Linked DNA regions of Astyanax mexicanus. The protein of the gene in region 2 purifies or fractionates together with the protein of the main gene of each other region. This does not show direct contact. Links are inferred from orthologs where the notes say so. Each region holds a gene or a part of one and is shown on either strand. Other genes may lie near its edges. The genes, in order: gnpat and bsg.

Evidence for each region.
Region 1: the proteins of bsg (region 2) and gnpat purify together in Homo sapiens (affinity purification with mass spectrometry; 3 studies listed by BioGRID and IntAct, counting the BioPlex papers as one, with this or other methods). This does not show direct contact. The link is inferred for Astyanax mexicanus from reciprocal best matches to the Homo sapiens genes BSG and GNPAT.

The regions. Positions count from the first base shown.
Region 1 is NC_064408.1:45,653,188-45,666,167, forward strand, and holds the start of gnpat (dihydroxyacetone phosphate acyltransferase), read left to right. Parts: upstream 1-8,044; 5' UTR 8,045-8,199; coding exon 8,200-8,223; intron 8,224-10,283; coding exon 10,284-10,475; intron 10,476-10,590; coding exon 10,591-10,767; intron 10,768-12,980. Other genes in the region: c1h1orf131 (uncharacterized protein C1orf131 homolog), read right to left, coding at 2,527-2,656, 2,858-2,904, 3,061-3,147, 4,451-4,546, 4,779-4,838, 6,175-6,446, 7,794-7,890. UniProt on the Homo sapiens protein: Dihydroxyacetonephosphate acyltransferase catalyzing the first step in the biosynthesis of plasmalogens, a subset of phospholipids that differ from other glycerolipids by having an alkyl chain attached through a vinyl ether linkage at the sn-1 position of the glycerol backbone, and which unique physical properties have an impact on various aspects of cell signaling and membrane biology.
Region 2 is NC_064423.1:16,791,067-16,803,255, reverse strand, and holds the start of bsg (basigin), read right to left. Parts: upstream 5,028-12,189; 5' UTR 4,909-5,027; coding exon 4,842-4,908; intron 1-4,841.

The DNA.
Region 1 (12,980 bases), on a different chromosome or scaffold from region 2:
AATATCATGGTGCTAAAATGAAAGACACTACTGACTACTGAGGATGTTAAATTTAGGAATAGTTTGGTGAACAAATTCATATACAGTACAAACTCAAATGCAGTCAAACGAGGTATGGTTATGTTTAGTGTCTGAAATTTGCTTCCTCAGCTAGTCAGAAGCTGTGAGGCTAATGTGGCTAACAAGTAACAGAAAGCCAAATAAGCTAAATTAGCTTTGTGCTAGCGTTATGTTTTCTATATTTTGGTCATGATTAACCCTCCTATTATGTTCATTTTTCAGAACCAGCGTGGTGTTCCCGGGTCATATTGACCCGTTGCATGTTTAATTATCCAAAAGATATCTGAAAAAAATCCAAACAAGCAGTGTGAATATGTAATGACTAACTCAATTGCTGATTATTAACAATATAATTAATATTTAGTGCAATAGGGTTCCTTACCTCTAACAGGTAATGGTTCAATTAGGATAATTCACTCGTTTTTCATAAAAAATACAGGTTCAAACTTTTTTTAATGTTTCCCTACTTCATTAAGCAGAAGAAACTTCATTCTGAAAAAGTACTTTTAACTATGTTTTTTAGATCTTCAAACTTTTAGAAGGAGCCAATTTGACCCGTAACATAAGAGGAGGGTTAAATTCTCACACACTCGCTTTAATCTGTGTTTAGTAAACACTGTTATTGTGGTACATTAGCGTAGCTTAAAGTCAAGTATGTTAGCATAGCTGTACATAAGAGTAGCAGCAGGACACCAAGTGGTCCAGCGGTTTAAACCCCTGCCACTATGATTGGGAGATTGTTGTTTCGAATCCCGGTCATGAAGCTTGCCATTATCTGCCAGAACCTTGAGAGAGCACAATTGGCCTTTCTCTCTCTGGGTGGGTAGATGGCGCCCTATCACCTCATCAGCACAAGGCGTCTGTGAGCTGATGTATCGAAACCGAGTCACTGCACTTTCCTCTGAGCGTGCTGGATACTCAGCAATGATGCATCATAAAAAATAAATTAATAAATGAAAGAATAGTAGCAGCTGTACTGTACACTGAAGTTTAGTATACTGTATATTGATCAGAAGCTGAAGAAGCAAACTTCAAGTACTACAACATATATTTTCAGCCTGACTACATTTGCGTTTGTGTTGCTGTTCCTGTACAGGGAAATTCTGCCGATTTTTGAAATTTCTGCATTATGAAATGACTCCTGTACAACCAAATTAGAGCATAGTGTGTTTGGTGTGAACTGCTCAGATCTAGAGAAATTTACAGAGTGGTGTTGAAATGAACCGGATGCCTGATATCTGAGTTTAATGCCACTAAAAGCTCCCTTACATAAAGTTATTACACAAAATGATTATGAATACACTGCTTTATTATTCCTTAAGTGTTACTTCAGGGGATGGATTTAGAATGTTGACTGGTGTAGAAGTTGTGAGGTGTTATCTTGTGAGTGAGCTTGAACACGGAACAACATGACAAGGTGTTGTGAATTATCGTATTTGGAGTCTATTTTGGAGTAAAATAGTCAGATGGATCTGACCATTCTTTTTCTGAAGTTGTGCAGGTATTTTGTTCACAACCACCCCCGGTGAACAGAACAGTTTTCAGTTTCTGGCTAGAATTGTCTGTGCAACTCTAGCAGAAACCACATCCACATTCAATGCAGGAGACCCCACACATATCTTGCAAATCAATGCTGAATCATTTATCTTCCATATGCAAAACAATGAAAAACAATTAACCATTTCACACCAAACCTCACACTGAATCTGTAACATTTCAACCACTGAGCTATGCAGAAATTTGAAAACATGGGTGGAGTTTCCCTTCAGAAAACATTGGATTCTCGTGTATTATTTATTTTTATATGTACATTACAGTAAACTGAAGATCTGTCTGACTCTGCAGTCCATGATAGACCACGTGTGAGGACCCTACCAGGTTCAAAAAAGATCTTTTTCATCTGAAACATCAGACAAAGCACATGCACGGCCCTGGGGAGCCGCGTAACCTCTCTTTGTACTGCGCCACAACAGAAGTAGGCCATTAATCTCAACACAGTTGTGCTGAGCCCTCTAGGGAAATACGAGTGTGTGCGCGTGTGTGCGTTTTAGATGCTGTGCTGCTTCTTTTTTTTCTAAAGCTAGTGTATGTGGTTTCTCCTTTCCTCCTGCCAATGTGAATGTTTTGTACTTCTCTGTGGTTTGTATATTAAAAAAATAAATGAAAATCTCATCGTCATCAGTATTGTTTCATATACCATCCCAACTGTGATGTGTGTCAGCTTCACTTTGAATCTGACATACACACATGAAGAAATATATTTATTAACACAGGTATTTTTTGACAGCTAGCATTGCATATGCACTGTCTGTATCATACATGTCCTATCCAGTTCCCATATTCAACAACACTAAATAATTCACAGCTGTACACTGCATATTCCCATGATGAAGCAAGAACAAGCAGTGGAGCACAAGTCCTAGTCCCAGTCATATTCCAGCTGGTCAGTATTGTGGGAAGACCACATCATCGCTTTTTCACTTTGGTGTTTATTTTCTGAATGTCTTTGTTGCTCAGGACCAGCATGCCATTCTTAAATCGTCCGACTTGTCCCGCTGGATCGCCACCTGAGGAGCTGGGCTTGCGCTTCTCTGTCCTGTAAACCAAGCAAAAAATAAAAAAGTTCATTAAACACTGTTAAAACCAAGTATAATTTTTTTTTTTCAAGAAAAAACTATTTACTAACCCACAGTATTCGATTTGTTTTCAGTTCACTTAAGCCAACATGAAACTAATTTTGCCCCATTACATTTAAACATAACATTATCCTATACAAAAGTCTACCACAATTACATACTTTTGTTTTCCAGATTTTCCACTTTTCTTCTTCGTTCCCGTGGTGTCCTGGAAAATATCACAATTATTAGTCAACAAATGTAATGTTCATAAAAGAATTAAGACTTGTATTATCCACAATGTTGCAGTTCTTTAATGCACATACACACAGCATCTAACATACATATACTGTAGATCTCTAAAGGTAACCCTTTAACAACTTACAGGGTTCGTCTCCTCTTTTTCTTTCAACTTTTTCTCCTTCATCATCTGCTGATACACTTTGTAATTTACATATTCCTTCTTGGGAGGCTGGAAGGGAAAAGAGGGAAAACACAGTTGATTACACTTACCAGTCTACATTCACACTTTAGTGAATGTACTTTAATGAACTTTAATGAACACTTCAGCAGAATGCCAAACGTGTGGCAAAGTTTGGAAAGTATACTAGTAATAAAGTAATATATACTGATTGGTTGCTGCATACAGATCTGAAGGAGTGTGAACGTAATTTATGTTGAAATCAATTTTATTTATTTATAAATGTTTCTAACATCAGTCCAAAATTAACTGAAGACATTAAGGAGGAGGGTGATGAGGTAGAAGAAGTGGAAAAATAAGAATAGGATAAAATGGCATCAAGAAGCTGCTTGATTTTTGAAGTAAAATATTCTTCCAAATGCAAATTAAGAACAAGCTTTGTTTTAGACCTAATAAAATAAAATACTTGGATCTGTTGGCCAGTTGTTCTTTTCCACTTCCAATTCCAATGCACCTATGCATCTATGTTCATAATTACTTAATGTTTCTTATCTCTTTCTGGACTATTCATTTGCTTCCCTCAACCCCATTCATCAATCAAAAAAGACCATCATAGGACAACTTATATCCAGATATTATCTGAAAGGTGGCGCAGATCTGCCAATCAAACATGTCCAGTCAGCAGTGGTTCTGTGGCCAGCGGTTCTGAGCTAGAGGACAGTGGACACAAATTGTGCATCAACAGGTAGTTCTACAGTCACTGTACCTCGGCAAGGTGGAGCTAGTCTGATTCTAGGCTTATAATCTTTGGAGTTTGTCTTGTTTCTTGCTGTTTGTGATCATGAGGTCCAGAACAATAATTTACAACCCAAACACAAAAAGTGTTTCTAATTGGTCAGAACAGTGAGTGTGGATTTTACCTTACCATGGTGATAATTCTTCTGTCATTAGCTCTAGATCATCCAGTTATCTTCCAGATTACATAGCTGACCGAGCTTTCCATCTCTATTATGTAACTATTCTGATCATTTTTAATGATATTTTTAGATGTAATCGTGTCATTGATTTTAAAACAACAAATCAGAGGTTATGTATTTTAATTCATATATTTTAAACTGTAAACCTTCTACATTTTGATTTTAACAGTTAAAATTCGGACTAAGTAATTACTTTACCATACTTTATACAGTTGTGTAAAAAGCCACACATGGTATAATCTGATTACACTTTTAGAACTTTTGAGAACAGTGCACTGTTTATGAATGCAACATATCTACACAGTTCCACTATCGGTTCACCCCTACTAAACTTTTCTACCTTGTCATGACCCATAAAGTAATTATTCCCAACCTACCCTGGCTCCCAGCATAATGGCCCTGTCCTGTTCAAAAATTCTCTGCTGATGTTTCTGAAAGCCTGTGATTCCAAAGCGGTGCACCTCCAGTCGGGCCTGTGGATCAACAACAAAAACAAACAATTAAAGAAACAGACCACCCAAACCTGCCAAGAAAATGATTAAGCCTATTTAAAGAAAGAAATAGATGTTCACTGTAGAATTACTCACTTATTACTTACTGGGTGATTAAGTCCTAAACCATGTTTAATATATAAGATCCCTCAAGGTATGCATTATACAATGAAGCAGTAAAATAGCCTGAATTTTTCATTTGAAACAGTATTACCTTTTCGATGGTTAGCTCTTCATCTGGGTTCTTTTTCTTTTTGTCCTGTACTTGAGGTGGCTGGTGATAGACATAAAAGAGAACATGATGACCACAAATATACAAAACAAATCAGAATGGTTTATACCTTGAAATAATAACTTAAATCATGTGTTTTCTGCAAACACCTCACTAAATAAAAAATCTTTCACAGGTCTTCATTCATTTTGACACTTTTTTTTACCACTATATATAATATATAATACATTAAATAACCTAAATGTACAATTAAAAGTTTTTACTGAACATTTAACCAGCTTAAAGCAGTTCAATACATTCACCTTTGTAGTGCTATTCTAATCATACATTTACTTAAGAAGTGTAGTTTTAATCATAATCAGATCACAGTTTCTGTATCGATGCACCCCTCGTTAACATGATGACCCTGTCTTGTTCAAAAACTCTGTGCTAATGTTTCTGAAAGCATGTGATTCCAAAGTGGTACAGTTTTAAATCATGAAGCTACTTCAGCTGTGCTTTCCTGATGAACATTTGCCTCAGTAGTGCTACGCAAGTGTCATAAGTGAATTTTACACAGAGAAACAGAGTCAGTATTCTGATAAAAAAAAACAGATATTAAGGCTAAGTTAGCTAGCGAGCTCAGACAAACTTATTATCCTATCTCTAGCTCCCGTCTTTCAACTGGGGAAAAAAAACTGTTGTGGAAAGTTAATAAATGGATACTGTGGGAGAAAGGGGTGTAGAGTGAGGCTGCTGCATTAAATATTCCCATTTTAAAAAAATTATCTGTTTAAATTAACAATAAAATAAATTAATAAAAAAAAAAATCATGGTCTTTTTACTGATTTGGCCAAAGACAGAAAGTGCTTTTTTTTGTTGTTGCAATTTTTAGTGCATCACTACAATATATTGACCCCACCTTGTTGCTCCACCATGCTAGAGTACACTAGGGGTCATTAATCTTAGTCTTTGAGGGCTGGTGTCCAGCACACACTGGCAAATTTCCTACTCACACACCAAATAAACCTGCCAATATTTGTGTGTTCGAGTAGGGAAGCTTTTTAGTTCAGTGGCAGAATTGATTATATCTCGGCCTTCTTCAGAGGTTAATTCCTGGCTACAGTGCTGCTTTTTGGCTGGATACCCACTAACAACTCCAAGGAACACAGCTCTGCTTAATACTGTTGTATCTTAACTACACACACACCACTAGGTCAGTTGCAGCTGTGCTGAAAATTATCATCAAACCATATAAAGTTAAGTCAGCCGTAGTCATGTGATCAGAATCTGACCAATAATAAATGTGTTGGCCAGGAACTAATAAACTGTGCAACAGCAGCTGGGTACAACATAATGTGCACATAAAGTGGTCTGTAAGTGTACACTTGTTACTTACTTTACTGTCCAGTTCAGCAGGTCTTTTTAATTTGTTTTTCTTCAGTGGATCCTGAAATGTAACAATCTCTACATCTGATGCTATCGCTGGACTTTTGGACGTGGAGTCTGGATGGTTTGCTCCATTTGCGTGATTCAGATCTGCTGCATCTTTTATACTACTGATCTTATCCTCAGAATCCCCAAACTCCTCTGCAGTCTCATCATCTTCATCAGGAACTCTTTTCCTTGTTTTATCCTTTTTCTTTGATCGATTTCCCTTTGATCCATCTCCTAGCCAAGCAGAAAAAGAGAAAGTGGGGTTATTTTTTGCTTATGCTCACAACTGTAGTTCTCATTCTCCAGGCCAGAATAACACTCACAGTAGAATGAGTCTAGAATGATGATTCCCTTTTTTCTTTTTTGCTTCCAGATCCACTTTAGCTTCAGCATCAACACAAGTAAGATTACGGAAAACTGCATGTAACTTTAAACTGCCGGAGCAGTTCAATTATTAGGATGCCCTGCATTAGTGAAGTGTATTAGGAGATAAATTAAAACGGACTAGCTGTACTTATATCACAGTTCACTTTTCAATCTTGATGTAGTTGAGGGGATGAGACATAATGAACAAAGTTAATGAGCAAATGTGTATTTTGTTGTGATACAACTTTCCTAAACTGATAACAGATTGTATGAACTCTCTCTTAGTAAGCCTACTTTTTATTTTAGCTATGCAGCTACTATTGTTATTCTAGATGTAATCTTTAATAATAATTATAATTCCTTAATAATTAATATATAGATCTTGAAAAGCATTTTTTCTATATATGTGTATAGTTTTGTTTTATATCAGTTGAATTCATTAATTAATCAGCTTACATTTTAAATGAATAATAAACAGTATGTATAACATACTTCTCATATGAAGAAAAATACTTAAAATAACCCAAACAACCAACTATACCATATAGAAAATAAACATATGCACAAAATGCCATTATAAATACGCTGGAAATATAAGAAAAAGTCCAAAATATGTTTTGAAACTTAATTTGAAAATATATGCAAATTAAAATGTAAAGATACATTTGAAATGTTTGCCTAAGTACATTTATTTTACATTTATCCATTTATTTACTTTCTGTGTGGGACAACAAAAATACAAACTAGGTAAGTTAGCTAGTTAACGACATAAATAAGCAATTCACGAATAAGACGACATTTAAATAATTGTCTAGCTATAAAATAACAAAGTAGCAACACAGCAGTAATACCAAAAACTAAAAGTGGTAAAAGTAAAATTATTACACAAATACACAGTATTATAATATACACAATGCATTAAATCAACAGTAATAATAAGAAAATTAAAAGCAGAGGACTTTTATAGTAAATATGTAGTTCTTGGTAATCCAGGTCCACACACGAAAATCCATTCCGGGATTTTGTTCCAGCTGCCAGAGCGAATCTGCTGCAGCTCAGCAATCCATTAAGTAGCTAACGCAGCTGGATTAAAATCCCGGGCTGGATTTCCACTTTCTGGACCTGGATTAACCAGCTCTAGCACTGATGGTACTGAATGAACGTTAGCCTGCCTGCTAGCTAACAGTCATCTGATCAGGTTTAATGAACACTAACCGAAATCATAGAGCTTATTCAGAACTCGGTCCAGAAACTCCTGATCCTCGTCTCCTCCCTCTTCCTCCTCTCCACGCTCTGCTCTGCTCCGCTTCATCTCCGCTCGGTCTGAACACGGCGCTCTCTGTATTTAATCCGCTCCGGATCTCTCTCACACACACGTGTAGTAAACACGCCCCGGCTCCCGTACTCCGCGCTCTGTCCTATACCGGCCACCGTCCGTCACCTCGCGTTTCACTGAAGAAGAAAATGGCTTTTAGTGGTGGGTGTTTTTAGTGACAACACCCATGTGGATCCAGCAGTCCGGTCACTGTTTCAGACTTTAGCAGCCTCTGAGTGCGCGCTCAGGTCATTCCCTGCAGGATAAACTCGCTCACCCATGATTTATTACAGACTGTGAGTCGGAATGGCTTCTAAATCTCTCTACTCGGTGAGTATCACACATTTATATACACTCAGACCCAGCTGTCAAACCAGCCTGACCCCTAAACCAACCTAACTAGATTCTTACAGCTGCTGAACTCAGTTTAACTACAGCTGCACAGATTAAATGATTGATCTTTTATCACCTCATATAGTTAGAAACACTCTGAGAGGGATTCCTCAATCGGAGAGATCAGCTGGAACTGTTTTAAGAGTTTAACGTAAGATTGTTTAGGGAAAAAACTCTTGATTTACACAGTCATAGTAATTTGGTCAAGATTGTTGTCTGAAGTTGGTATCACTTTATTTGGATGGTTCATTATAAATTCCTTATAGATGCTCAACTAACATTCAACTAAATATTAAACTAACATCCAACCGCATGTCTATTAAATGCAACTGAAAGTAGATGATTATCTACTGAATGTGTCACTACATCCAATAATTCTAATCTTCACATTTTAGGGTTAGATTTGGGTTTAGGATTAGATGTAGGGTTAGATTTCCTGTTTAGGGTAAGGTTTTGGTTAAGTTTAGATTTTAGTGTTATTCATGGTTGAGGTTAAAATTAGTGAATAGAATACAACAAGGACAACATAAATTAAAATAAATAAATAAAAACTACTTTTCTAAGTAAGAATTTTTGTGTCTTTGTGTTTGTCTCTTGTTAGCTAGCTTGTTAGTTAGCTAGCTAGTTAGCACTAGCAACAGCTAGTTAGTGTTAGCTCAGACATTTAGCTAACAAGGATACAGCATGTCATGATAATCATAATGCACTCCATATATCCAGGACTGAAGTAAAATAAATGATTCTGGACAGATAGAATCTTTCTCAAGAATATATTATTTAATAGGAAATGAGAACAGTGTGATTTGTTTCTTTTGCTACAAACAGCAAAAAAAGTTGTACCCTCATGATCTCAAATTAATGTCACAATATTCCAACATCGCCACACCTTTTGCTCCATCTCAGCTTCTAACACACCCAGCATTGCTTTACCCTGGTCCCGGGTCCTGCTCCTACTCCTAACACACCTGATCCTAATGCCGAGCTGTTCAGCTGATCAACAACCTGTTATTGATTTAAAGTGTGTGTTAAGGCAGGGAATGCGCTAAAATGTGCAGGGCAATGGGCCTCCACTAACAGGGTTGTGAAGCTTTTTAAGCTTTAGGACACTGTGTATATGTGGAACATATGTACTGGATTATACTGAGACTGGGTTGAGAAACTACATGATAAGTACTGCAATTCAAATCAACAGCCATAAAAATGCAAAATAGTACATTTTGATCCTATCACAGATATAGCTACAGTATATTGGTAATTATAGGGTCAAACAGTCAAGACAGTATTCAAAACAGCTTAATCTCTGTGATGTCTCTTCTAGCTATGCTGATGTTTCTATTTGTGGACTTGGTTTGAAGCTGTTTTTATTGCAATGACCTCTTGGGTGTCCGTTATTTGTAAACTACATTAATCTCATTAGCTTCAGTTCTAAAACTGGAAGCAAAAGGAAGCAAACTTTATATGCCAAACATACTTAACACATTAGAGCCCAGAACCGTTTCTAAATATTGATACCAAATTAAAAATTTAATTTATAATTTAAATTAAGTGAGCATCTTGTTAATGTTTGTTTCTTAATGTGAAAACATGACTCTAAATATTATCAATAAACACAGATTCACACACTGTCTTGTAATGATGCTCTCATGATGATTAGTAAATGTCGCTTAGGGACTTCATGAGTTAAAGTAAAAGACAGAATGCTGTAATTTCCACAGCTTTTAAAGGATCTGTTACATATATGTTGCAATTGGTTATTTTTGGATTAGACTTGTCAGCTAGCTACATTCAGTTCAAATGTAGCTTTTTTTTGTTTGATTTTTTTTTTGGAGTACATCCCTGTTTGCATGTTTCAGCAACCTGTTGCAAGCTTTTCAGATTTGGAACTGGTCCTGCAAAATTAAACTTACTACGTTTAAAAAAATTAAAGGCTGTGTGATGATGTATCATAAATTTCATAAAACGTTCTTTTTATGTATCTTCTGTGTTTTGTCCTGTAGCCCAGGGACCCGGTGCTGAAGAAGAGGGACGATTTTGAGGATATTCTTGAGGAGAGACGAAACTCCAGTGATTTGAGATATGCTCTCAGGTGCTACACACCCGCTCTCTATAAGGGACTGGTTCCATGCAAGGCCAGCATGCTCAAAAACATCGTCCTGCAGTCTGACTCTCTACAGTATGTCATCAGCCAGGTAAAAACACTCTACACAAATGAGCATCTGAAGTACGAGGCCGAAGCTGGCTCGGTTTGCCTTCAGTATACTGTAGTTATTTTTTTTTAAACAATGTACACATCACTCTCTGTAGGTCTCAGCAGAGTGTGGTGAGTCTCAGGAGGCGGTTCAGGAGGAGGCGTCCTTGTTACTGGAGGAAATGGCCCACCGCCTGCAGCTCGGCACCATCCGCTTTTTCGCCTTTACCCTCAGCAAGGCCTTCAAAGTACTCTTCCATAGCGTGTGTGTCAACGAGGAGGGCATTCAGAGGGTGAGTCCAGCAGCTGATGCCACTTTCACAGCTATATATAGAAGGCCAGATGCCCCAATCATGAAACACTTCTGCACTACGCCTGGGCTCTGTGTTTAGTCTAGTAAGCCAGTAAGAGTGTCCAGTTATATGAAGGATGATGGTGACTAGTTTTGTCCAAAGATAGCTGGTGTTGTTGCAGTTTGGGCTGTGTGATATAATAAAAAAAATATATATACTATATGAAAAAAATCAAATAAAGTTAGTAAGTATCTATAATTAGTTAACAATTATAAATTGTTTCTGATTTAATATATAGATTTAAAAATAAACACTGAAGGCAATTTCATACTTTGCAGTTTGTCACTCAGCAAACTGCACTGGATTAAATTAATTTGTAATGCTGCCCCTTTAATTATGATGATGACATAAAGTACAGAAGAATATACTCTGCTAAGTGTCATCCCCCCAAAAACCATTTACATTGTTTTAAAAATATAAATTAAATAAACCAATTAAATAAATTTAATAGATGTAAAATACATCTACAAATTACATTCATATTTACAATATACTGCCCAGTCCTAGTTGCAGTGCTTTATTGTGAAAATACAGGAGTGCACTTCATGAAACACGAGGAGCCGAGCCCCCTAATATTCATGCATAAATATATTATATAGAAAGTCAAGCACTTCTAATGATAAAAGCAATGTTGTCATATCTGCCGTCATTCTTATTTAAATACCAGTTATTTTAAAAAAGGTATTTTCTTCCCTAAATAAAGCATTTATTTTCCATGTAATACCACAGACAGGACACATAAAAACAAATATGAACCAAAAGGACCCTGATTGGTCAGGAACTTGGACTTGAACAGAGTTTATGTTTGTTAATGTTATCAGAAATCGCAAACATAACCTTCCCCACAGCAGGTTAAATGTACAGTATAACTGGCAAAAAATCCTTCATCATGAGACAGACCCCATTTCAGTTGTTTGAAGACCGCGATAAACTGATTACACAGAGAAATTCTGGTGAGCTCTTTCTTGGTTGAAATGAAAGCCTAATTGTTTGTGGAAGGTAGTTGTCATTTTTCCTGTTTCAGTACTGTTTCAGAATATTTCTGTGAGGTTTTTGAGTGATGTTAACAATATTAGTATATGGATCTATATAGATACAGTACCAGTCAAAAGTTTTTTTCTTTTTATGATTTTTACATGGTACATTTAATATTGAAGACTGTATTAAAGCTACACAGGAACACTTGTGGAATTATTGTGTAAACAAAAAGTGTTAAAAAACAGAATACTTTAGATTCTTCTAAATATTAACATTTTTCTTTGAGGACAGATCTGCACATTCAGTATTTTCTCATGAGGGAGAGTAACCTGGAATAGTTTTCTCAGGGTCTTGAAGGAGTTTCTGGATGTGCTGAATAATAGTTGATGCTTTTCCTTCACAATGTGAAGCTCCAGCTCATCTCAAATCACCTCAAATCACCATCTCAGTTGGGTTTAGGTCAGGAGATTGTGGAGGACAAACACTTATTGTTTACTGCATATTTCCATATGTGTCCTTAAGTGTTAGCATGTCTTTAATATTAATCTGAAATGTAGTAAATCAATTTAATAATAAATAATATTATTAATAAATAAAGAAAAACATTGAATGAGAGGGTGTGTCCAAACTTTTGACTGGTACTGTATATAGAAGTCAATCTGTAGAAAAAGAAATGATCAATTGCTGGTCTTTGCTCTGTTTTGTTTGAAGAGAGCTGAACCAGTTCCAGTTCCAGTACCATATCGCCACCTTGTGTACTGATGTAGCAACTGTCCAAAGTTCAGAGAAATTGTTGCTGAAACAGAGACACTACCTAAGAGGTGTAAACATCTTGCCATCTATAAGGCTATGTTCAGGTGCAATCCCAAATCTTATGTTGTATCTGTATCTTTATCCTCAAACAATCTATTTAGATCGTATCTAGTTCGATTTTAGATTTTAGATTTTAAGATCTAGTTTTGGATTTTTTACTCTGGACAACAAAAACACATAAATATTACATTTCAAAAACATGTTTGGAGGTGGTTTAAAATAAGTTTACAAATCAGATTTGTACAGATGCGTCTGTCTGGACAATCTGGACGCTCAAATCGGATATCAAAGTCTTCACAGTGTGACCTCTGGTCTGATCTCTTGCAAATAACAGTACTAAAATTCCCTTTAACTTTGAGGCT
Region 2 (12,189 bases):
AGTTATGGTTAAACTTTAGCAACTAATCTGCATTTCATCTGTCCCAATCCATGGGAGATGTGCTGAATAGACTGCAGATTATCCATGGTCCACTACACTAACCGTGATGTATGTGCACAAACACAGAAGCATGCATAGTAGGCCAAGTGCAAGTGCTAACGTTTGGATAAAAGGCAGCGTTGAGTTCTTTTTTTTTTAATTATCTGAAACTCATTCTATGCCTCAAATCCACATTTTTTGCATCAGAGAACTCATAGGAACCACACTATATTATAAGTGGCACTACTAGTAAAATGAGCTTAGTGTAACTAACCTGATCTTTTGCTCTTTAAACTGGTACAGCCATCATCAAAGGTCACATTCAGATGGCTAACATATTTTAGCTCTGACTAAACAAACATCTTGTCCTGTCTCGTGTTGCCAAGGTAAGATTTATCCCCTCATACAAAACATTTCCACTCTATGCCCACTTGTCCTAACATTAAATCTGGAGAGCTCACAAATTATCAAACACCACAAAGCACTCAAAACTGGTTGATTTTAGCCAAAGTCTTCATTGGGTCCAAAGTCTGAGAACAGGCTGTGAACTTGTTTTTAAGTAGTAAACAACAACACCCACCCTAAACCTCCCCCCTACTACCCCCACTCAGAGAACCAGATCATTAGAGAACCATCAGACATTAATGACTACATACACTCACCAAAGATCACATCAAACAGATCTACAGAAATCCAATCACACATTACAAAACACACATTATAATACAGTCAAAGAGGAGCAGCATCCAGCTGCCTGGGGACAAGTTCTGATCCCACAAACAAGTAGGTCAAAGTCACAGGTACACAGATTCTACACAGCCCTACAAACAGCCTAACACCAGGTCTAAACTAAACTCAGGCTGCACTCCAACAGTTAACAATAAGAGAGAGCAGCAGAAGTGTGAATTACAACACTGTATATTACACAATCACTCAGAGGGAACTGGACACGTGAGGAGAATCAGCCCCTCAAGCACTTTCTTGCACTCGGACAGCAAAATGGCCGTCACCAGACTGCCGTCACTCCAATTAAAAAATGGAAAGCCTATTCAACTGAGGACAAATACCGGTGTGCTCTTCCTAACCCAATTTTCTAAGCTGTGCCGAGCTAAAGGCTCCAGGGACAATCTAATTTTAATTCTGATGTGGAACTGCTGTGGCTTGGCTCACTCAGCCATGAGGCCCATTCGCCTGCCTTCCGAGGAATTCTCCAGGCAAAGAGGCCACTGAATAACCAGGGCAACTAAAGAAATCAGCCATAACCTAGGACTGGGCAACAGGGGCAAAATTATGTCACAATAATGTAACTGTTTGTATTGAAATTCCAATGTGGTTTCAAACCAAAGAGTGTTTTTTTTTTTACTTACAGTTACTTACATTTTAGCCAGTCGTGAAACAGATGAAAGTTATCTACCACACAACAATAATTTCCCTTCAAACAGGTGTAATTATATTAACATGCTATTACTTTTTCTTTAGATAAGTGGATTAAGTGATCCTGAAATGACAAAACTATTGTTTACTGCAATAAATTCTGCGACAACATAGTGATCAAACAAAAATCCAGTAAGTGACACGTAGCGTAATTTATTGATGCATTATATGATTAATACCACTTATTTCTACAGAGTAGTGGACTGCACTAATGTCTTCTTTTGGCTGATTCCCCCAATGCTGCTGTAGTAAACAAACACATACTGCCCAGCCCCATTCTAATATGTTTTTGAATCTCAACCTTAAAACAAGTTTCATCTGGCCTACCTGAAATCTACACCAAAACAAGGGCAGACCAGCAAACAGCATAATAACTACACTGCACTTTGTAATGGAGGGCCTGGGCTTAAATGTAGGCTTACCTCAGCTATGGAGAATAGCACGTAGCCTCCCACTGTGTGGTACTATTTCTAACTGAGCCTGAAGCTGATTAGGTGTAGATTAACAGGCACTGACATTCATTCAGCTTCTACTCAGAGGATAAATAAATTACAGTATGAGGCACGCAATTTCATTTCTATATGCATTGTTGAAAATAAATCAATTTAATGAAATTGCTCATTCACTTCCATTAGATACATTTATATTGTGTATTAGGGGTGTTCCATATCTTATCGTACATTGCTTTATAATATTTAAGCAATAAAAAACACTCCACTTGATTATAGCAGCATTCTATTTAGTATTTATTTTGTTGCTTAGTAATAAGCTTTGTGTATTTTTAGTACTGTATAAATACAATTAATACAATATTTAATTGTTTTGTCAAATGAGGAAGATTGTTATAAGTAATAATTTATTAAGAATATTGTTGCTAATGTACCCTGAAAATTGTGACATCATATTAGGGGCATACTGAACACCCCTGACATATTACATAAACTATAGCTACAAAAACACGTAACAGTAGTCACTTGATATTTTCATATCATTTTCTCATTTGCATTCAAATCAAATGAGATAATTTACAGCTTGGAGTTGCCATGTGACCTAAAAACAGGAGGAACAGTATTTAAGAAGATTCACTTCAGTTCAGTAAGTTCACGCTCACATTTCTATGCACTGCCCATTAAAACTGCTGGAACATTATAATAAGCTTATCTTAAATCCTTTACAGACTAACGACAAAGTAGTAACGTGACTTACGGAGAGCTACGGAAGGCTGGACTGTTGCGTAATTGACTGTAATTCTTGTTTATTACACAGGATACACAAACAAATGCAAAATAACTTGCCCTATAGTATCAGTCAGTGATAATTGACTGTTATGGGATGGATGAGGTGGGGGTGGTGAGAGGAGTTAGCAGGCAGGCAGTAGCCTGGTGATCACAGCCACGATCAATTCACAGCAAATCAGAGGCTTCACAGCAGCCATCATGTCGAGGCCTATGGGCACAGCTAACTGGTCTGAACCGGTTTTGCTGACTGCAAATCTCACTCACTGAAACCCTGTTTATTCAACTGGTTACTGGTTTACTACAGGCAAAAACAACAAAAGCCACTGTGAACAAGCTCACAACCAGTGAACACTAAAATCACTGCTATTAAAAACAACACAACCCAGACAGTCACGTACCTACACACCACTGTTACTGTCCACACCCTTAACATTCAGACACACTATAAAAAAAGTAAGACAACCAAACTCTAAACAGTATTGGGAGATATAAAATATCCCTAACAGCATTACAACTAAATATATGCCTTGTAAAAATAAATAAAGTGGGGAAGAAAAACTCCTTGACCTTTCAGCAAAATATCTAATCAATCCCCCTTAATGGAGAACACTTATTAAAACAGAGACAAGAGAAACACACAGCTCAGGTTAGAGCTGTTTACAATCCTATATACTAACTATACATTCCACACTAATGTACCGATATTAATAACGAGAATGTCTGCAGAATATTTTAAATGTTTAAAGTGAAATTCCAGCATGGTCTCAAAACTCTAAACATGGTGAAATATTAGTTTTAGCCTGTCCTAACCTTAGCCTGAGAAATAAACCTTAACAATAAGCTTAAGATCCAATAAAAGACACATAAGCAGATATGTTAAATGTTAACATTTTGAGACCAAGCATTAGATAAATAACTATGAAAAATACACATAGATATTGAGTGATTTAAACACTTGTTGAAAACACTATCCGGTCATTTAAGTTAGCTCATAAAAACTATAGTATAGTTATAAAAAGAGGTTTATTATGAACCTATTAGTTAATCTCTTAGTTCACTTGTATAGTCCACAATAAGATAGATACATTATATTTACTTATTTATTTTATAAACAATTTGCTAAAATTGTTATAATAATTACAGCGAACAATACACAGATTTTGTGTATGTAAAACACCTGTATGAAAACAGTCGTCAGTAAAATTAACTTACAAAAAAATAACTGAGATTGAACAGAGGAACAATGAGTTAGATGATGACAAAGTCTATCAGAGCTTGTTAATTCCAAATACTAATGTACAAATCCCATAGTATGTGGTTTACTTTGACCCCATTTGTTTTATGATTTCAACGTAAAGGCAGTTTAAAACTATCAAGAAAAGATTAACTTACTTTCATACTTCATACGTATTTTTATCAATTCAATTTAAATAGTAAGTCTGAGATTAATTACCAAATTTTGAGGCAGAGCGATTAGCCAAAACAGTTAAAAGTAGAAAGGTAAAAGGTAAAGTGAGCTCACAAAACTAATGCTCAGTTATCAAGAATAAAAAGAGTTAAACTACAGTTATTAATTCAGATTAATGATTTACAGAGCAGACGAGATACTCTGTTAAGATAGTTAACGCTAAGCGAAATTACTGAGCTAAGGAACAAACTATGAGGTATGAAGAGTTATATTTAAATAAGCTGTTATTACGGCACTGTCAGTAAAACAAGACACAAATAAACTAAATTAAATGAAACCTAACTATGTATTAGGTTGTTTAACGGAGTTTAAACCCGTTTTATAGTTAACAAGCTAAGCTAGGGAGCGTTGGTTTTCTAACGCTTGAGAGGTTTATTTGAAAAACGAGACTAGCATAGCTAGCATTAGCTAGCGGCCTCAACGCTTAGCACTCAGCTAACGACTTTGACAGAAATAGTTTGAGGAAAAAAAAACCGGTCGCAGCTCCAAAACGAATTTAAATTCCTTTATTCACACAAATAACCACAGCCACTGCTGAAAACGCCGTGTCTCGGCTGAATATTATAAATGTTACGTTCGCAGAGAGAGAGAGAGAGAGAAAAAAAACACAGCTAGTTAGCTGTGTTAGCATGTGTGCTAAGTGGTAAGATTGCGGGTTTTACCTGTCCGCAGAAACGCCTGGTCCACACAGAGCAGCAGCAGCCCGCTGAGCACCAGCAGCCGCATCATCTCTGCCTCTCTGTGGGTTTATCACTGACAGCACTTCACCGGGGATCCGCTCCGTTAAAAGCTCGGCTCGGACTGAGGCGCAGCTCCGGCGTCCTCTATTTGATCCTGACGTGCACGAGAACGCGCACGTACACATGGAAAGATGGTGCGTCACCACGTCCGGCCAGTCTCGCTGCGTCATGTTTTTTTTTTTTTTTTGTAGCTGGTTAGTTCAGCTTAGCTAATTTGTTTCACTGTGTGTTTGTTTATATATACAGATCTGGGGAAAAATAAAATACCACTTTAGTTTTTGAATCAGTTTCTTAGTTTTGCTATTTATAGGTATATGTTTGAATAAAATGAACATTGTTGTTTTATTCTATAAACTATGGACAGTTTGTCTCCCAAATTCCAAACAAAAGTATTGTCATTTAGAGCATTTATTTGCAGAGAATGAGAAATGGCTGACAAAAAAAAAAGATTTAGAGCTTTCAGACCTCAAATAATGCAAAGAAAACATGATCATATTCCTAAAGTTTTAAGAGTTCATAAATCAATATTTGGTAAAATAACCCTGTTTTTTTTTTAAATCACATTTTTCATGCATCTTGGCATGTTTACCTCCACCACTGCATTTGGGTAACTTTTATGCCACTCATGGTGCAAAGATTTAATCAGTTCCGCATTAATATTAAAGACATAAAAGCATTATTATGTTTGTCCTATGAAAAATGTTTGTCTTCCACAATCTCCTGAACTAAACCTAAACAACTGAGATGGTGATTTGAGGTGATTAGGAATGAGCTGGAGCTTCACAGCCTGAAGGAAAAGCAGCAACTATTGTTCAGCACCTCCAGGAACTCATTCAAGACACTGAGAAAACTATTCCAGGTGACTCTACTTCATGAAGCCACTGAGAAAATACAAAATCTGTGTACAAATCTATATTTAAAACTTAATGTGCTACTTAGAAGATTCTAAAGTATGAAACATATTCTGGTTTCTTTAACATTTCTGTTTACAAAATAATTCCATTCAGTTCAAGAAAGAAATCACAATGAAGGAAAAGAGGTGTGTCCAAACATTTTAAATGGTACTTTCTGTTGTGTTAAGTAAAAAATAAATTAGTTCTAGTGTGTCTGTAAACATGGAAAATAAAATAATTAAACTGATTGATTCTTTTATTTTACATTTAAATATACATTATTAAAAGCGTCAGCGTGCAATGATTGTGATTAATCACAGCAAATTGTTCTACAAGTTAGTTAATTTTTTATTAAAGTCTTAGTTTCTCCACTGACCACTAGACCCCTCTGCACTTACTTTCTTCAAGCTATAAAATCTGGGTCTACCTGCAACACATGGTGGAGGTGTTTGTTTTGAGGTCAGTAGGCCGGGCTTTTAGTTGATTAAAGAGTGTATTATTCTGTATTATTCCATTATCACGGAAGGGGGGCAGGGATAGGAGCAAGTCTGCATTCAGAAGAGACATTAACGTGGATGCTTGGCTTTTCCAATCCACTTTAAATAACAGAATGTCCCACTGCGCCTTTGTGGGGAGGTCAGTGTGGGGAGGGTGAAGGGATCAGGATGAGTGGGATCTTTTATGTTTTACATTCAACCAAAAGCAAAATCCCTTTCAAATGAACACGCAGAGCTTAACACCACTCTGCTCCACCTGCTGCTCTACATCCAAACCTGGCAGTTCCATATGCAGGCCATGCTCTAGTTCTGTTAACAGCACCAACACTTTTTTTATTTTAGTTCAATTTATTGGTGTTATATACTGTACACATCTGCTGATATGCCACACATCAATAAACAGGATTTTGTACTGTGTCCCATGACTTAAAGTATGCTGCATATTGGACCTGTAGGATATGTGTGTGGGGCACATGGACATTTGCTGTTGTCACCACAGGAATCAGACAACACATTGAACATAGAACCCAGTGAGCAACAGAGGCAAACAACTCCCTCTGTTGGAGGCAAAAAACCTTGGGGGGAAGAATCCAAGACTCAAATGTACCTTTTACTATCACAAGGATAACATACATGAGGGGACCCATCCTCCTCTGGTCAGGCAACTTATAAATGAATGTTAAATTTACACACACACATATATATATATATATATATATATATATATATATATATATATATATATATATATATATGTGTGTGTGTGTGTGTGTAAATTTAACAAAAACAGGTGTAAACTGGCAGGATAAGCAAAGTCTATCCTGGGAAGCGAGACAAACACACTGGAGAGAAGCACGAGGGAGGAAGCCAGGGAGAGAGGAGCAGGGTGTAGCAGCAAACTATGGGCCCTGTATACTGTCAATGGCAGTGGGCCCCTATCCATGCCAGTACACAAAGAACATGAAAGAAAAAAATCAGGATTTTCATGAGCCCCTCTCCATACTGGGTAGTTAGGTCCACTTTTCCCCCCACTTCCACGCCCATGGATGGCGGAGTGCATTTTTTGGAGCCTTAACATTTAACATGACTGGTGTTTGCTTTTCAGCCAAGATTTGGTTTGGATGGGAGTGGAGGGTACGGTCGGACAGAGGAAAACATACTCGCTAGGCTCCTGGTGGGTTACAAAATATTGAATGTTTCTTTGTATTAAATTACATGACATTACACCAATATTTTGGTGGCCTGTTGCGTTAGAAATCCTCCAGTTTTTCTGATGTTATACAGCGCAAAGCGGCAGGATCGAGGAACTGAGGCCACAAGGTGTGTGAAGGAAAGCTGGTCATCAACCAGAACACCAAGGTTTCTAAAAACTTTGCACGTAATACAGAAACACTCTACGGGGCTTTGTCACAATTGAGCATAGAGGGAAACAGTGGTCCATGTTCTGTTTTGTTAAAATATAAAAAAAAAATGATGGAAAGTTTTCTGCTCTGAAAGAAAAGGGTCACAAAGATTTTTCTATGAAGAGATTATTTTCTTATGGAACAGGGCACACAAACTGTTTTTCTTTTCTTTTGAAAGCTATTAGTATTTTTGACCTTATATACAATTTTCTTGTTTGCTTTCTTTTCCGTTTTATTTATTTTAGTTTATTTTCCCTCCACCTTTATATTTTGAATGATCGTTGGTTACTTTTCTTCGTGAAATCACACTTCACACTCAGAACAGTAGGTGGTGGTAATGTGCCTTCAGTTGGTCTGCCATCCACCATACACCCGAAAGAAGAAGAAGAAGAAGAAGAGGAGTTCTCAGATTTGGACGCTGCGTTGTAAGTTAAAAGCTGGTCGCAAAGTTCAGCTAAGAAGCAGCTGCATTAACTAGTAGCTCCATATCTACTAGCTCTACTGAAGCCCTCCATTTACCTCCGGTATATGCTTAACGTCTCTTATTATGACAGGTAGGTTTGAAGATCCAGCTGTGATCAGCAGTTCCACACCTCTGTGCTCAGACTGCTCTGCTGGAGAAACACCATCAGCTCACCTGCTGCAGGTATGGAGATGTTCCACTCTTCACCTAAACACTGCTCTACATTTAGCTTACTCTTAGACACAATTAGAACATTATGCACAACAGCTTCACCCAGGAGCTGGAGGATCATCTTCTCCTAGTTTTCTCTGATCAACACTTTTATTCTGCTTTATTTAAGCTGGATAGGAGATTAAGGGGCTATTGACAACCCCTGACAGTTGCTTTATTACATTACATTACATTACATTTGGCAGACGCTTTTGTCCAAAGCGACTTACAATATTGAAGTGCAAATAATAGAAGAGGTTAAGTACAAAAATAATAGAAGTTAAAAATAAAGCATCTATATATAGGGCCTTAAGGAGGTCAGAGGGAAATAATGGGATAGAGGAGTAGAGAAGAGGAAGAAGGAGATGAGGTTAGAATTAGTTCAGGAGCGAGTGCAGGTTGGAAGGAGCCTGTACTGTCATCACCTTGTAGGCGATTGTAAGCACTTTGTATTTGATGCGAGCAGCAACCGGTAGCCAGTGGAGCTCAATGAGCAGCGGAGTGACATGTGCCCGTTTTGGTTGGTTGAAGACCAAACGTGCTGCTGCATTCTGAGGGAATATTGAGGGAATACTTCTCCTGTCTGCTGGATTAAAGGCTTAAATTGTGCTGCTATTGTTTATAAACTCCTTCATGCTAACTGTAGAGATATCTCCTTTATGTTCACGTGTTTCTCCACAGCAGAGTCTGTTTGTGTACATAAACTATATCTTTATTATAGTTTATCAATTAATAAACTATGTGTAGAGTATATCATTTGATATTCAGCATTTAGATGTAGTGAGTGTAGAAATATTCATGTATGTAGATGTTCCACGGTGTGGGAATTAATGTGCAGTAATTTGTGGAAAATACTAGTTAATTTTTGAGTTAAATGGAATTCTTACTGAGAGCTGGTTAGTGGGAGATTTTGAGATGGTAGATTAAGAGATGGTGGGATAATAGGGGGCAGTTATAAAGCGTGAGAACCATTCAGGAGTGTGATTGTTTAGTAAACAGTCTTTGCGTATTTTTGGGTTCTTCCTACTCAGGAGCACTTCTGTTAACCGGTGGCTCACTTTTAAGCCTTCTAACAGAGAAATAACAGTTCGCATTAACGTTTTCTAATGGAGTTACTTAATATAATATACACTATATGGCCAAAAGAAATCACTCATCTTCCTTCACACGCATGTAAACATCCCTTTCTTAATCCATAGGTTTAAATATAATCGGCCCCTTTACTGATTTAACAGCGTCAGCTCTTCTGGTAAGACTTTTCAGGTTTAGGAGTGTGTTCATGGAAATTTTTGATCAGACAACAACTGCTGTCTTCTAAACTGTGTGTCGGATCCAGTGTATCCAGTGTAAATACCTGGGAATAAAAGCTGAAATGTTGATCCTTTGGATAAGAAGACTGGCCTCACACTTTCAATACTTTTGCAGGGCACTGTATTTGTATTTGTGTATATTTGTGGGGGAAAAAAATAAAATAAAAAAAACAGTAGTATTTCCAGTTTATTCCATCAGTGTGTAGTTGGTGTGTAAAATATTGTTTTCATTATATATGTAGGCTAGGTGTTGAGTTTGGATTCATAAGATTGTTGAAGTTTTAGTTGAGGTGTTTCAACTAAATCCAGATGTAAAACATTCGTCATAATGTGTATGTGACCGGGGCAGCTGTGTGTTAAATAGAACATATAAGGTCTTAGCAAACTTCACGAAAGAAAATGTAATATTACCTTTGTGATAAATGCTGCTTTTTATTGTGATTTCTGTAAACTCTCATGTTTGAACTTCATTTTAAGTTATTCATTGAGACTGTTTTTGGAAACTTGGTGATGTATTTCATTACTGTAGCAGCTGAATTACTGCAGTTCACTTTAACAATCTGTGTATTTTAGAGTTTAGTGAGGTTACAAACCTACAAAAAAATGTTAAATGCCACACTAATTCAGATACTCCTGTATTTTTATTTTCTGATCTTGGGCTTTCTTTTTCTTTGTTTCTTTCAGAAATAAATACTATCCTGTTTCAAGTCTTCTCATGCCTCTGGTGTCAACTGATAGAATTTACCTGGATATAATTTAGCTTCACAAATACAGATTCAGAAGATTTCACAAAAATATTAATCTGCTGAACGAAGGGGAGAAGATGGAATCCAGAAAAATCTCCAATACTCAGCCAATATCCTCTCCTACACCTAGCAGACAAATGCAGAAAAGTACTGGCAAGAAAACTCACCACTGTTCAGACTGCGAAAAGAGTTTTACTACACAGAGTAATCTACAACAACACCAGCGGGTTCACACAGGAGAGAAACCGTATCACTGCTCAAAGTGTGGGAAGAGTTTTGCTGCACAGGGTAACCTGCAACAACACCAGCGCATTCACACTGAAGAAAAACTCTATCATTGTTCAGACTGTGGGAAGAGTTTTGCTCATAAGAGTTATCTTAAAACACACCAACGCATTCACACAGGAGAGAAACCGTATCACTGCTCAAAGTGTGGGAAGAGTTTTGCTGCACAGGGTAACCTGCAACAACACCAGCGCATTCACACTGAAGAAAAACTCTATCATTGTTCAGACTGTGGGAAGAGTTTTGCTCATAAGAGTTATCTTAAAACACACCAGCGCATTCACACTGGAGAGAAACCTTATCACTGCTCAGATTGTGGGAAGAGTTTTACTACACAGGGTATTCTAGAACACCACCAACGCATTCACACTGGAGAGAAACTGTATCATTGTTCAGACTGTGGGAAGAGTTTTAATCATCATCTCAAAAGACACCAACGCATTCACACAGGAGAGAAACCGTATCATTGTTCAGACTGTGGGAAGAGTTTTTCTAGACTAAGTATTCTTAAAAAACACCAGCACATTCACACTGGAGTGAAACCATATCACTGTTCAGACTGTGGGAAGAGTTTTACTTCACAGATTTATCTCAAAACACACCAGCGCATTCACACTGAAGTGTAACCTTATCACTGCTCAGAGAGCGTTAATAGTTCCATTATTATCCATTGATGAGATACAAGTGCATTAAGAGTATTTTCTAAATCCCCTTTTCACACCTATATCTTTACAGGAACCAGAGGGCGTCCAGGGGTAGGCCTAGAGATTAAAGTCAAGAAAACTATTAATGAAATTATAAAGTACAGTCCACTGTATCCAGCAAAGGCTTGAGGAGACAGAGAGCTCATTATCTGCAGTGGAAGATTAAAATATCAGACTAACAAGTGAGGATAAATCCCCTCAGATGATTCTGGTCAGGTTTCTGGGTTCCTCTGTCAGAGATCAAGTGCACAGGGCAAGAAGGAAAGGGAAGTGCTTTAATGGGAGGGGTATACTCTAATCCCTAGTATGTCCAAAGAACAAAAAGAAGAACTGGTGAAGAAAAAAAAATCCACCAAAGTGAGGAGGCTGCTGTGAGAGTGTAATATTTATTTGACACTGGCATTATAATCTTTTCTGCTTTTATGTAGGCAATGGATGTATTGTTTGAAGATTTATGTTTGTCAGTTTTTAAAATAAAATAAAAAAAAACACTGATTTTTTTTAAACATCTACTTCGGGTCTGGTCTCCTTACTTCCCCTCTATTTCCTTTGTTGCAACCATTTTAAAAACGCCAACCTATGTTGTAACAGTGTACATTGTTTAGAAGCTTCATATCATTGCTGTCACTTAAAAACCTTTTCATAAATAATCATTACCTTACACCTAAACATTAGCACATCTGAGCTAAATAATATCAATGTGGAAATAAATGTTTGTTTAGTATTCATTTACACTTACAATAGGTTAGTTGTGCTTAT